Linked DNA regions of Anolis sagrei. The protein of the gene in region 2 purifies or fractionates together with the protein of the main gene of each other region. This does not show direct contact. Links are inferred from orthologs where the notes say so. Each region holds a gene or a part of one and is shown on either strand. Other genes may lie near its edges.

Evidence for each region. The genes of interacting proteins can lie anywhere in the genome.
Region 1: the proteins of CKS2 (region 2) and PKMYT1 purify together in Homo sapiens (affinity purification with mass spectrometry; 3 studies listed by BioGRID and IntAct, counting the BioPlex papers as one, with this or other methods). This does not show direct contact. The link is inferred for Anolis sagrei from reciprocal best matches to the Homo sapiens genes CKS2 and PKMYT1.

The regions. Positions count from the first base shown.
Region 1 is NC_090026.1:23,688,062-23,695,361, forward strand, and holds the start of PKMYT1 (membrane-associated tyrosine- and threonine-specific cdc2-inhibitory kinase), read right to left. Parts: upstream 3,002-7,300; 5' UTR 2,756-3,001; intron 1-2,755. UniProt on the Homo sapiens protein: Acts as a negative regulator of entry into mitosis (G2 to M transition) by phosphorylation of the CDK1 kinase specifically when CDK1 is complexed to cyclins. Mediates phosphorylation of CDK1 predominantly on 'Thr-14'. Also involved in Golgi fragmentation.
Region 2 is NC_090022.1:234,206,028-234,213,570, reverse strand, and holds the start of CKS2 (cyclin-dependent kinases regulatory subunit 2), read right to left. Parts: upstream 3,002-7,543; 5' UTR 2,874-3,001; coding exon 2,815-2,873; intron 1,042-2,814; coding exon 914-1,041; intron 267-913; coding exon 214-266; 3' UTR 1-213. UniProt on the Homo sapiens protein: Binds to the catalytic subunit of the cyclin dependent kinases and is essential for their biological function.

The DNA of each region.
Region 1 (7,300 bases), on a different chromosome or scaffold from region 2:
CAAGCCTGAAAAAGTTACAGAAAATGAACATGTCAAACTATTCTGGGACTTCCGAATTCAGATTGACAGTTTTGGAGCACAATACTCCTGACCTCACAATCATGTTAAAAAACGAAGTATGGATCTCTGATGTTGCAATCCCAGGTGACAGCAGGACTGAAGAGAAACAACTGGAAAAGCTGACACGATATGAGGATTTAAAGATCGAACTGCAAAGACTCTGGCACAAGCCAGTTAAGGTGGTCCCAGTGGTGATTGGCACACTGGGTGCAGTGCCTAAAGACTTTGTCCTGCACTTAAAAACAATCGGCGCTGACAAACGACCATCTGTCAGCTGCAAATGGCCACCTGACTCCGATCTGCACGCAACATTCGCCAATACATCAAGCAGTCCTAGCCATTTGGGAAGTATCCGACATATGATCCAATAGAAGAACCAGCATAGTGATCTTGTTTGCGGCGTACTAATATTGTTACGTACCTAATGATGATGATGATAGTAATAATATATATATATATATATATATATATATATATATATATTAAAAGCACAGCAGACAATGAACCAGTACAAGAAAACTGCACTCCAAACCAGAGCTGACAGCTGACACAACAAAGCATTGCATGGGCAGTTCCTTGACAAAATTGAAGGAAAAGTTGATAAGGAGAATACCTGGTTATGGTTATGAAGAAGGAGACAGAAGGCCTGATTTTTGTAGCCCAGGAGCAAGCCATCAGAACAAATGCAATTAAGGCCAGGATTGAAAAATCAGCTGATGACCCAAAATACAGACTGTGCAAGGAAGCTGATGAAACCATGGTCATCTCCTCAGCTGTTGCAAGAAAATCACAAAGATGGACTACAAACAAAGGCACAACTCTGTGGCCCAAATGATTCACTAGAACTTATGTCACAAGTACCACCTGCCAGCAGTAAAGAATTGGTGGGATCATAAACCCGCAAAGGTGGTGGAAAATGAACACGCAAAAATACTGTGGGACTTTCGAATCCAGACTGACAAAGCTTTGGAACACAATACACCAGACATCACAACTGTGGAAAAGAAAAGAGTTTGGATTATTGATGTCGCCATACCAGGTGACAGTCGCATTAAGGAAAAGCAACAAGAAAAACTCAGCCGTTATCAGGACCTCAAAATCAAACTGCAAAGGCTCTGGCATAAACCAGTACAGGTGGTCCCAGTGGTCATTGGCGCACTGGGTGCCGTGCCAAAAGATCTCAGCCAGCATTTGGAAACAACAAATATTGACAAAATCACAATCTGTCAACTGCAAAAGGCCACCTTAGTTGGATCTGCATGCCTCATTCGAAAATACATCACACAGCCCTAGACGCTTGGGAAGGGTTCAACTTGTGATTTTGTGATACAAAATCCAGCATATAGATCTCATTTGCTGTGACATACTGTGGTTTTGTGTCAGTAAAATTATTATTATTATTATTATTATTATTATTATTATTATTATTCGCCGACACATCACACAGTCGTAGACACTTGGGAAGTGTCTGAAGTGTGATCCAATACAACAGCCAGCAGAGTGATCTTGTCTGCTGCGGAGTCATCTTGTTGTGTTTCAAATAATAATAATAATAATAATAATAATAATAATAATAATAATAATAACAATAATAATAATACACATAATTTGAAAATACATCACACAGTCCTGGATGCTTGGGAAGTCTTCAACTTGTGATTTTGTGACACAAAATCCAGCATATAGATCTCGTTTGCTGTGACATACTGTGCTTTTGTGTCAGTAAAATTATTATTATTATTATTATTATTATTATTATTATTATTCGCCGATACATTACACAGTCCTAGACACTTGGGAAGTGTCCGACATGTGATCCAATACAACAGCCAGCAGAGTGATCTTGTCTGCTGCGGAGTCATCTTGTTGTGTTTCAAATAATAATAGTAATAATAATAATAATAATAATAATAATAATAATAATATACTTGGGAAGTGTCCAACGTGTGAGCCAATACAATAGTCAGCACAGTGTCTGCTGTGGACTCATCTTGTTGTGTTTCAAATAATAATAATAATAATAATAATAATAATAAAGTGTCTGACGTGTGATCCAATACAACAGTCAGCACAGTGTCTGCTGTGGACTCATCTTGTTGTGTTTCAAATAATAATAATGATAATAATAATAATCATCATCATCATCATCATCTTGGGAAGTGTCTGACATGTGATCCAATACAACAGTCAGCACAGTGTCTGCTGTGGACTCATCTTGTTGTGTTTCAAATAATAATAATAATAATAAAATAATAATAATACACTTGGGAAGTGTCTGACGTGCGATCCAATACAGCAGCCAGCAGAGTGATCTTGTCTGCTGTGGACTGATCTTGTTGTGTTTCAAATAATAATAATAATAATGTCATCTGGCAACTTTAACTGAGAGGGAGGGAAAACAGGATAATATTTCCTCCAGCACACAATAATAATAATTTTAGTGACACCTAGGAGCCTCAATTCACACAGGAAGGGAGAAAAAGACTATATTTCCATCACTAACATCATAATAACACAACATTCTGGCAACCTTAATTCTCAAAGGGAGGGAGAAAAGAGCCATGCTTCCACCAATATACAGCATTACCATTAACAATAAAGGATATCTGTCAAGCCCCCCTTTCCCTTCCTTCCCCTCTCAATTCTCCCCAATTTAAGACATCCCCCCATATTTGGGAGGCAGGGAACGCCTTGCCTCTTGGCCTCTCCAATTTCCTCTGAAGTGTTGAGGGAATATTTCTCTCTCGCCAGACACACACACACAAATACCCGGATGCAGCCGCCTTCTCTTCTCTTCTCCTTCTCCTTCTCCTCTCCTCGCGCCAAGGGCGACCCCTCCCACTCCCCTTCCTCAGAACGTTGGGGGCCAACGCTCCGCGCTCGCGCCAAAATTCCAAACGGGCTCGCCCACTTCCGCCTCGCCTACGTCACCGCGGCAGCAGCAGCAGCAGTGCGCGCGCACTCAGAAGCGAGGGAAAGGATGGGGGGGGGTTAAGAGCGCGGGAAGGCACAAGCCCCGCCCCCTTTCCTCTTTTCCCCCCCTCCCCCGCCATTTTTTTTCTCTCTCTCTCTTTTAGCCAATCAGGAGCCACCAAAGGAGGTGATTGACAGGAAGGAAAGAGACACGTCTTGGCTGTGTCTTACGGTGTCTAACTCAGGCATAGGCAAACTTGTGCCCTTCAGATGTTTTGGATTTCAACTCCCACCATTCCTAACAGCCTCAGGCCCCTTCCTTTTCCCCCTCAGCCGCTCCTAACAGCCTCAGGCCCCTTCCTTTTCCCCCTCAGCCGCTCCTAACAGCCTCAGGCCCCTTCCTTTTCCCCCTCAGCCGCTTAAGCGGCTGAGGGGGAAAAGGAAGGGGCCTGAGGCTGTTAGGAATGGTGGGAGTTGAAATCCAAAACATCTGAAGGGCTCAAGTTTGCCCATTCTTAGTCTTAACTTAATGACAAACTTGTGTCAGTGACAAAATGCAGCTAGACTAGAATTAACACAGTTTGGCACCACTTTAACTGCCAGGGCTCAATGTTTGGAGTGTGTAGTTTTTGTCATGAATGCTGGGGAAAGCATTTCATTTCGTTGTACAATGTACAACCACACCACAATTGAAGAGAGGTATTGACAAGCTGGAATGTGGCCAAAAATGATCAAGGGTCTGGAGAACAAGCCCCATGAGGAGCGGCTAAAAGAGCTCAGCCTTTTTAGCCCGAAGAAGAGACGGCTGAGAAGAGACATGATAGCCATGTATAAATATGTGAGAGGAAGTCACAAGGAGGAGGGAGCAAGCTTGTTTTCAACTGCCCTGGAGACTTGGACGTGGAACAATGGCTTCAAACTACTAGAAAGGAGATTCCATCTGAACATTAGGAAGAACTTCCTGTGAAAGTTGTTCAGCAGTGGAACTCTCTGCCCCGGAGGCTTCTTCTTTGGAGGCTTTTAAACAGAGGCTGGATGGCCATCTGTCGGGGGTGCTTTGAATGTAATTTTCCTTCTTAGCGGGGGGTTGGACTCAATGGCCCGTGAGGCCTCTTCCAACTCTATGATTCTAATGTCCTGAACAGTTCTGGTCCAGATTACCTGTCTGAACGTATCTCCTGCTATGAACCATCACAAAGCTTAAGATCATCAGGAGAGGCCCTGCTCTCGATCCCACCACTTTCGCAAATGTTGTTGGTGGGGACGAGGGACACTACCTTCTCGGTAGAACCCCCCTGTCTGTGGAACTCTCTCCCTAAGGACATCAGGTTGGCCACCTCCCTCCTGTCCTTTAGAAGACAACTGAAGACCTGGCTCTGGGGCCAGGCATTTGATTAGAGACCAGTGGCAATAGGAAAAGGAAATTTGGATTTTGTGATATAGATTCTCCCAGCTCGGCTTGGTTTTTACTGGCACATTAATTTTTAATTTATTGTTAAATTTTACTCTTTTTTTTTTTTGTCGTGTCAGGAGTATTGGCCATCTGCAAGGACGTTGCCCAGGGGACGTCTGGATAATTTTTGATGTTTTATCATCCTTATGGGAGGCTTCTCTCATGTCCTCGCATGAGGAGCTGGAGCTAATAGAGGGAGCTCATCCGCCTCTCCCCGGATTCGAACCTGTGACCTGTCGGTCTTCAGTCCTGCCGGCACAGTGCTTTAACCCACTGCACCACCGTACAATGTTTTTATTGTGAATTGTAATTTTTATGGTATTTATGCTGTTAGTATCTTCTAATGCTCATGTGAGGTTGCGCTGAGTCCCCCTTGTGGGAAGAAGGGCGAGATATAAATATTTAAAATAAAAATAAATAAATAAATGGACCACCACGTGTTCGCAAGAACTAAAATATGGTCCACGACCTTACTGTTACTACACCATTGCAACAAGAGTGACTGGTCTCATGAAACCCTCTTATAGTGCTGAGGCTTATTAAAGATGGTTTTTGCCATCTGTGGTGAGCACATGGCGACTACTGGATGTCATATGTTCTGTACAGAAACTAGAGCTTATGTGGTCTATCTAATGCAGTTTTCTGAGTCTGCACCCCAAATAACCATGCTGAATCAAAAGTTAACCAAAAACTTATTCGGAACCCTTTTGGTAATAAAGTTGGAGAGTGGTCCCTGGTCAAAAAAAGGTTGGGAATCACTGATTTAAATTCTCATTTCAGTGAAGACAATGATGCAAGACCCAGGAAACAAAAGGTGGCCATCCTGGCTGACCGGAGGGCTTGACTGCCCTTTCAGAAGGCTAATGTATTCATATTTGTTTTAGCCTTTTCTTTAAACCATAAGCTTCCAGACATATTTTAACAGGTAAAACAGCGTCAACATAGCCCTGGCGATAAAGGGATTATCTGTCTTGTATACACACATAAAGGAACTGATATTATCTAGCTTGAGAGATCACTGGGAGAAACCTTTTTAATTGTTCAGCAATCTCCGTTCCCTGAAGCTTTTGTAAATAGGGGGCACTGAGAAAAACAGCTGCCTTCATAACGTATTTGATACAGTTTTATACATGTAGGGATTGATATAGTATACAATCAAAACAAGTTACACAATAAATATTTTATACATTTATTAAAGGGTTTAGACATGATATAGTTCGGGGTACAGTTGCTGCTGGATCCTTTCCGAACCTCCAAAGGCTTCGATATTGCGTAACTTTGAAAGAGCGGAAAATGTTTTAACAATAAAAAGAAATTCGAATCTCTTGCTTGGAGTCCCTCTGAAGGTTCAGATCAATTTGGGGAGGGGGTGCTGTGGCTCAACAACACTGTCACTCAATCCTGAAATTGATTCTGAATTAGCTGTCATCCCAACAATAGATTTCTGCTGCTCTTCAGAGTTGCTGTTACCTATCTGAGTCATGCCATCTTTTCCAGGTCACTGAGTTTATGGATAGCCTTCTCTATGCAGAGTTGAGGCCAGGTCCATTGTTTCAATTTTGCTATTTAGGTTTTAATAATATGCCAGGAAAAGTTGATGGTTCCTGATGTTTTATTTAAACAAACAAACAAATTTGATTGTTGCTTCAGCACAACATTATCTCCGATTTATTTCCATAGCTCTTTTGTCTTCATGAAGAAGTTTTGTATCCATTTATTCTCCAACAAACTTAATCTTTCCAGAAACAAGTTTATTTATATCTGAGATCATGTGGCCCTCAACTGTACATAACAGGACTATTCATCTACTGGTGTTGTTCTTATATTTTATGGCCTGTTAAGGATTGTTTTGAATTAATATTTTAAATAGTTATGAATTTGTAAACTTTTGTATTCATTGTGTAATTGTATCTGGTTTTAATTTATATTGTGAATAGTTTAAGATCCCATATTGGGATAAAGGCAGGGTACAAATTCCGTTCATTAAGGTCCCTTCCACACAGCGGAATAAAATCCCACATTATCTGCTTTGAACTGGAAAATATGACAGCGTGGACTCAAGATAACCCAGTTCAAAGCAGATACTGTGGGATTTTCTGTCTGGGTATTCTGGGATATAGGGCTGTGTGGAAAGGCCCTAAGTAATGACTGCTGGAGTCAGAGGCTTGCACCAGAACTTTAAAACTGGCTTCTCTGGCTTGAACTGAGGCCAGGAAATTCCTTCCTTCTCTGGTTTAAAACTGGCTTCTCTGGCTTGAGCCGAGGCCAGGAAATTCCTTCCTTCTCTGGTTTAAAACTGGCTTCTCTGGCTTGAGCCGAGGCCAGGAAATTCCTTCCTTCTCTGGTTTAAAACTGGCTTCTCTGGCTTGAGCCGAGGCCAGGAAATTCCTTCCTTCTCTGGTTTAAAACTGGCTTCTCTGGCTTGAGCTGAGGCCAGGGACCTGAAGCAGGGAAAAGCTGAATAATTTCCGACTCACTTCCTGAGTTGTAACAAAAATGGCGGAAAAAGCTTAGGAAGAGCAAAAGGACTTTCAATTTTTTTAAAAGCTTCAATATTGCTTCAAAAAGGTAATTTTAATGAAATTATTACAAGCAACGAGTTATCCGACGTGACTCTATCCATGCCTAGTTACAATCCTCGCAATAGTGTCACAATTGTGACTAAATAGCTGTCGTGAATACAGAACAGTTACCTAGATTTACTGAACTGTAACTGTTCCGGATTCATGATTGATACTTAGTCATAAATGTTAAAATGAGCACCAAGCTTTATGTTGGACAATATTGTGCTTTTCTCTCCTGTAATAACAAAAACACAAGACTAAACGATTGTATTTTTTAATTGAAAAGAAACTGGGGTATGGGGCACAATAT
Region 2 (7,543 bases):
TATTGAACAAAATAGACAAGATCAAATAGGCACTTGTTAACAGTAAGAGTTTATGATCATAGCAGCCTACTTCGTTTGCACTTTACTGAGCTCTGTTGCTGTGAATAATACAGCTCATGCACAGGTAATGACGTATTTGTACATTCTCAAGTATTCACTGAATACTACCAACATATATACATTTTTACAAAAGATTCCAGAAGTTGAGAGAAGTCATTTCTGCTGGCCTTTTGGAAGTGGTCTTCTAAAAAGGAGGATGTGTGGTTCTGTAAAAAGAAAAGCAAAGGAGCTTTCAGCTGCCTGTTGAAAAACTGCAGTCTGATACATCTTACTCTGCTCATTCATTTAACACTGCAATCGCTAAACTGATTTTATATTCTGAACAAGGAGAATTTAGATCTGGAGATTTTGACTGGGGGGGGGGGGGCAATCCCGAGTAGTTCTGCCTCCCTTAAAAAGCATGCAAAACAAACACAATGTGATTGCAAATTAAACAAGTACACAAATATTAGGCTCCAATTTAAAAATCAGGCAAATAGGTGCTGAAGGATATACATAGTGCCATAACTATAAATTCATTCAATATTCGGTTTATGCTCAGCAACCCCATTGGGAAAAAACCCTTTTACACTTGGGAGGATCGAAATTAACTATAAGCTAGGTGAGTGTGCTTTCTTTTGAACAGGCCCTTGTTTATTTAGAGCATTTATACAGTGCCCTTAAACACAAACGTTACCAAATACGATTAACATGTGTCAAAAGAGCAATTGAAGAAAAAATGTTTAATTACTGCATCAATTTTTTAAGTTTAAGCATGCAAGGTTAATCAACACAACCTGTACATGTTCATAACTTCTACTCTTATTTAGAGATCATCCCCACCCACCTTCCCAGTACAGTTGAATCCTTTTACCTGGTTCATGAATCATGTAGTGGACCCAGCCAAGGCTCTGTTGGACTCCAAGTCGTCGCCATTCTTCTTCGGTCATTAGATGAGTTTTCGGTACTTGTTTTGAGAGCTCTCTTGGCAGCATCACATGTCTACCAGGGGCAGAAATTTCAATGACTCATGTTTCTTTCATTTTGAAAACAATCATTGTTTCGTATTGATGAAATGATAATTGGCAAAACCTTGCAAGAATTATTTCTAATGCTTTTTTTAAAAAAAAATGTAGACAATACGTTTGGTAGAAAAGGGGACCCTGAACTATCAAGTGTATAAGCTGCTGCTTGCATACCTTAAAATGTTTAGATTATTTGATCATAGAATCATAGAGTTGGGCCATCCAGTCCAATCCCCTGCCAAGAAGCAGGAAAATAGCTTTCAAAGCACCCCTGACAGATGGCCATCCAGCCACTATTTAAAAGCCTCCACCACACTCTGGGGCAGAAAGTTCCATTGCTGAATAGCTCTCACAGTTAGGAAGTTCTTCCTTTATTTTTTAAAAATATAATTCAATACATTTGTTATACATTTTTTTTACGGCAGGCACATAATATTCAATACAATCTACCATACATTAACTTTTAGCATCTACTGTTATTTTTACAGATACATATTTTCTATCCCTCACCACCGTGTTCCCCTCCCCCAGAGCCACTGCTTTTGTATATCTGTCCAAAGTTCTTCCTAATGTTCAGGTGGAATCTCCTTTCCTGTAGTTTGAAGCCATTGTTCCGTGTCCTAGTCTCCATGGCAGCAGAAAACAAACTTGCTCCCTCCTCCCTATGACTTCCCCTCACATATTTATACATGACCATCATGTCTCCTCTCAGCTTTCTCTTAACCCATACTTTGAAAGATTATTGGGTAGAATTTTTTTTCCGTGTCAGGAGTGACTTGAGAAACTGCAAGTTGCTTCTTGTGTAGATGATTTGCAGGTTTTAGGGTGGCAACATGGTAATCAGAAATCACAATAAAGACAGCAAAGAGTTTACACTACACACAAGGGTCTCAACTACATGAAAAGGCCATTAGCAATACCCAGTGTGTTTGAGTGGATAGTGCTGTCCTCATACTGGGTGATCCACACTCACAATTAATTCATACATGGAGTTTGTTAATGGCAATTTGGGCCAGTCTCCATCTTTTAACTTAGTTCCCCAGTTTCAGTTCATGAATATCACACCTTCAAGTTAACTGCACTGGTCAGTGTTTTCCAAACTATGATGTTCCAATGTCTTGGTCTTCTCTTCCCAGAATTCATAACTGTTGGCTGAGGATTCTGGGAGTTTAAATCCAAAACAGGAGATCCAAATTTCAGGAATCACTAGATAGGGTTTTCTTAACCAAAGGGAACTCAAGAGGTGGGTTTGCCAACTTCTTCCTGATGTCTCCCATCCAATCTCTTAACTAGGGCTGACCCTGCTCAGCTTCCAAGAGCAGGCAGGATCTGGAGCCTTAAGGTATCTAGGCTCTAACTCAGTGGTTCTCAACCTGTGGGTCCCCAAATGTTTTGGCCTTCAACTCCCAGAAATCCTAACAGCTGGTAAAGTGGCTGGGATTTCTGGGAGTTGTAGGCCAAAACACCTGGGGACCCACAGGCTGAGAATCACTGCCTAACTCCAAGGCTGAAAATGGAGGAAGGGAAAAAGAGACCTCCCCGTTAGTTTTACAAGGCCTTTAGCCTTCTCTGCCAAACTACAAATTCTAGGAGCCCAAAAACTTGGGCCATGCCAGTTATAGTGGTGTCAAACTACATTCATTCTACAGTGAGGATCAAGTATGGGCCACCTCGGCCCTTCAGGTGTTTTGGCCTTCAACACCCACAATTCCTCAAAGAGAAATAGCCCCCCTCTCTCTCTCTCTCTCACCGGTACTCGTAGTTCTCGTCGTAGTATTTGTCCGAATAATAGATCTGTTTGTGAGACATAGCGGCGAAGAAAAAGAAGAAGGCGGCCTCTATCCCAGCCGAAACCACCTCACCGGCCCAGCGCTCTTCCGTGGCTAACAGACGCGCCTGGCGCAACTCTCCATTTGAATCCCACACCTCGACGCCGATTGGGCGGCCGGGAGCGCGCGCCGTCACGTGGTGCGCGTCTATTTGGTTCCTCCCCGCCCGCTATGGTTTCTCCTGGTCCTCTGACTACTTCCACCAATCAGAAGACGCCGTGAGGGAGGCGGAGAAACCATTGTGAGCAAGTGCAGGGGGAGAAGGGGGAAAAACAATTGCGAGACGGCCCGACGGCAATGCGCATGTCTGGAGCCGGGATTAGAAATGGTGGTTGTTTTTGTCGCTGACGTCACTTTCTTCTCCAAGAGGCGTGGCGTTGGGTTTCCTAAATCCAACCCAGTTGAATGATAGAGTGATTTATACTTAGGATGAGTTACTAGCCCACAATTACTTTACCGAGGGTGCACCTACACTGTAGAATGAATGCATTTTGACACCATTTTAGCTTCCCAGCCCAAAATGCTATGCAATCATGGAGTTGTAGTTTGGTGAGGCAGAGAAAGCTACTGACCTTGTAAAACTACAACTCCCAGGATTCCATGGCAGTTAAAGTGATGTCAAATCCTGATTAATTCCACCCTTATTAACTGTAGATCAGGTATGGGCCAACTTGGGCCCTCCAGGTGTTTTGGACTTCAACTCCCACCATTCCTCACAGCCTCAGGCCCCTTCTACATTGCCATATAAAATCCAGATTATCTGCTTTGAACCGGACTATCTGGAAGTGTAGGCTCATATAATCCGGTTCGATCATCCGGTTCGATCATCAATCTCTCACACTAAAACTGGGATTTATTTTGGGGCTGGCAGGACTGAAGGCTAACAGGTCAGAGGTTCGAATCTAGGGAGAGCGTGGAAGAGCTCCCTCTGTCAGTTCCAGCTCCCCATGCAGGGCCATGAGAGAAGCCCCCCACAAGGATGGTAAAACATCAAAACATCCGGGTGTCCACTGGGCAACGTCCTTACAGACAGCCATTTCTCTCACACCGGAAGCGACTTGCTGTTTCTCAAGTCGCTCCTGACACAAATAAATAAATAAACGGGGGTATGGGTTATATTACAAACACCCTAGGGTTTCTTTTCCAGTTAAGTCTTTTTCTTTCTTTCAGGGAAATGGAGTATCTCCTGTCCACCAGGAAGTGTAGAAACACCCCTGGAGTGAGAATTGGTCTAAATTATTATTGAATTGTCGAAGGTTTTCATGGCTGGAATCACTGGGTTGTTGTAGGTTTTACAGGCTGTATGGCCATGTTCTAGAAGCATTCTCTCCTGACCTCACAACCTCAGAGGATGCTTGCCATAGATGCAGGTGAAACGTCAGGAGAGAATGCTTCCTGAACATGACCATATAGCCCAAAAATCCAACGCCTAGCCAATCCCATAACCAGGTTTTCACTTTTTTCCTGAACACCAGGAAGGAGGGGGCCAATCTGATATCTCTAGAGAGGAAGTTCCATAGCTGAGGGCCACTACTGAGAAGGCCCTGACTCTCGTCTCCACCAGTCGCGCTTGCAATGTGGGTGGGACCAAGAACAGGGCCTCCCTCACAGATTTTATCTCTCTAACCAGTTCATAGAGGGAGATACATTCAGACAGGTAAGTTGGACTGGAGCCATTTAGAGCTTTATAGGCCAAAGCCAGCACTTTGAATTATGCTCGGTAGCAGATTGGCAACCAGTGGAGCTGATGTTACGGGGATTGAATGCTCCCTGTATGTCGCCCCAGTGAGGAATGTGGCTGCTTCCAAACAGTCTTCAAAGGCAGCCACACTTAGAGTATGTTACAGTAGTCTTTTCAAGATGTAACAACAGCATGGACCACTGTGGCCAAGTCTGACTTCCCAAGATATGAGCGCAGCCGGCACACAAGTTTCAATATACATATAGAGGTATTAAAATATGTAGTTAAGATCAATCAAACCATTCAAAAATCTATTAAACTACATACAACACAGCATCTCTGGTCCATTCTTCAAAACATTCTTCCTTAAAAGCCTGCCTGAAAAGAAAACTTTAGTATACTATCCTCCCAGGTGAAGCGCTTCAGTCTCTCACACTAAAACAATAGGGATTGACATTTAAAGTGTGCGAACTCTAAATAGCCTTTGAATTATTCTTAATAGTCCGTCACCTCTTGAGTCCTTGGTGCAAAAGTTTAGATGTTCATCAGATATTTGTGTTGCCCTTATTCCCCTCAGTGGCAAAACAAAAACAAAAAAACGAAACTACAGATACATCTACACTGCAGAAAGTATGCAGTTTAACTGCAACGGCTCAATGCTATGGGAGATGTAGTTTTATTAGATCTTCAGCCTTCTCTGCCAAAGGGTGCTAGTGCCTCACCATACTAAAATCTAATGATTCCATAGCATTTAATCACAGAAGTTAAAGTAGTGTCAAACTACATTGATTCAAAGTACAAATCCAATGATTCCACTATGTCGACTCTTAGCCCATCTAATTCTAGAAGAGACAACAAGACCTTGAAGAAAGTAGGTCAACATTGTTTGAAACTGGTATGGACAGTCTTTCCTTCAAAATCCACATCACAGGAAGAGCTCCAAGACACAAAGAGGCTAAGCAGTCTTAATCTTCATACCTTATTTGTTTGCTTTAGTTTGCTTTAAGGCTCCCAAAAGTTAATGACTATCTTATACAAAGCACATCCTTTGGACTGCGAGGAGCCCCTAAGCTTTATTATGGCTCCTTTACTCGCTCCAGGACCTTGGATGGCTCTTCTGGGAAAAGGTGAATTCATCAGGGAAGCTTTAAAAAATACTCATTTTTTCTTTCAAAAATGAGATCCATCCAGCCATTTCTGGTTTGTTGTTCTTTATCATTTGAAATAGTCTGTGTGTTGCCCACCGTGATCTAAACCAGAGCTTTCCAAACATTTCAATTCAGTTTTCTTAGTAAACTGGAGGTTACACTAACTCCTCATAAGAGGTACAGACACATACATCAATTGTGATAAAGAAATGTGGGAGGACACAACCTATCTCATGGAAACATTTCCTTTTAAAATATATGATTTATTGCTTCTTTTCCATAGACTCTGAGGAGTCTTGTTATATTTGCCCAACATACTTACACAGTGCAGCTGATTCACTAAGATGTCACAACACACAGTGTTTGAAAAGCTCTGATCTAAATGGTACATATCATAGCAGATTTGCAAAGTGCTTGGATCAAAGTGCAAATGGATATCTGTTAAAAAATAAGGCATTTTAATGTAAACCACCTTAAAATAAAGATAAATATTTTAACATTCAAGTTCACAAGTAAGATACTCTCTGCCCTTAAGCTCAAGATCTAAAAAGTATGACACACAAACAGCAAGGAAGAGGAATGAGGAAGAAAAAAGCAGGCTCGGCCACCAATTCTGGAAAACACATTTCCTATCACAATCAGCTGGAATGGAACATTTCAGGTTGTTATGAACTGACATCGAGTTGACTTCAAGATATGATGACCTTATGAATAGACTGATAGTGCTGCAGTGTTACATTTCTGTTTGGTAAAAAAGTAAGTAAGACTACATGATCTAAGGGATCCCATTCAGAAAAGAAAACACAGTGAGGAGAAAGCTGTTTTTTTCAATCTGTCAAGGCAGAATGCTAAAATTAAAGGCTGGTTGATTTCCTATATTTTGAGGCTTTTTGTAATTCAAAAATTTGCTGCAACAAGACGAACAAGTCACCTTGTCACCAAGTCTTGTAAACAGAAGGCCGTGGCTTCCCTGATCAGAATGGATCTGTACTGTAGATTTAATTCAGTTTGACACCACTTTAACAACTATGGTTCAACAGCATTTGGAATTTGGTGAGGCATCAGCACACTTTGGCAGAGAAAACTAAAGACCTTGTAAAACATCACTTGCCATGATTCCACAGCATTGAGCCATGGTAGTTAAAGTGGTGTCAAACTGTATTGATTCTACAGTATACATGAGAGTGAAAAACTGCTAATCTCTCAGCAGAGGAAATGGATTAATCTAGTTTCTCTTTTGCTTTGCAGTCTCATATAGTAGCTGCGGCTAGTTATACTTGATAAAGGGAAGGCCAAGCTACATTTAAAGAGGAATGTTTTGCCCCATAACTTCTATAGTTTGGGTAATGTTATTGGAAACACTATTTTATCTTAGGGAACTTGGTAAGCTATTGATAAGCTATTGGTAGGGTTGTGCAGCCTGAGCACCAAATCTGTTCCCCAGCTTCTGAAATCTATTTTCCCAAATTTTGAGTGTCTGTTAAGTGTTGGTGGATTAATTATAGCATGGGAAGATTTTCAAGGAAAATTGTTGATGAAAGAAAAGTTGATTTACCCAAACCACATGTTTACAGTCTCCAACCTGCATGCCAGTTAAGGTTTTATTGGTGTCATGTCTCTCCACCAAATGGCAGTGAAATTTGGGGTGGTTTGTTGTTCAGTCACTTCCAACTCTTTGTGACCTCATGGACCAGCCCACGCCAGAGCTCCCTGTTGGCTGTTGTCACCCCCGGCTCCTTCAAAGTCAAGCCAGTCACTTCAAGGATACCATTCATCCATCTTGCCCTTGGTCTGCCCCTCTTCCTTTTTCCTTCCATTTTC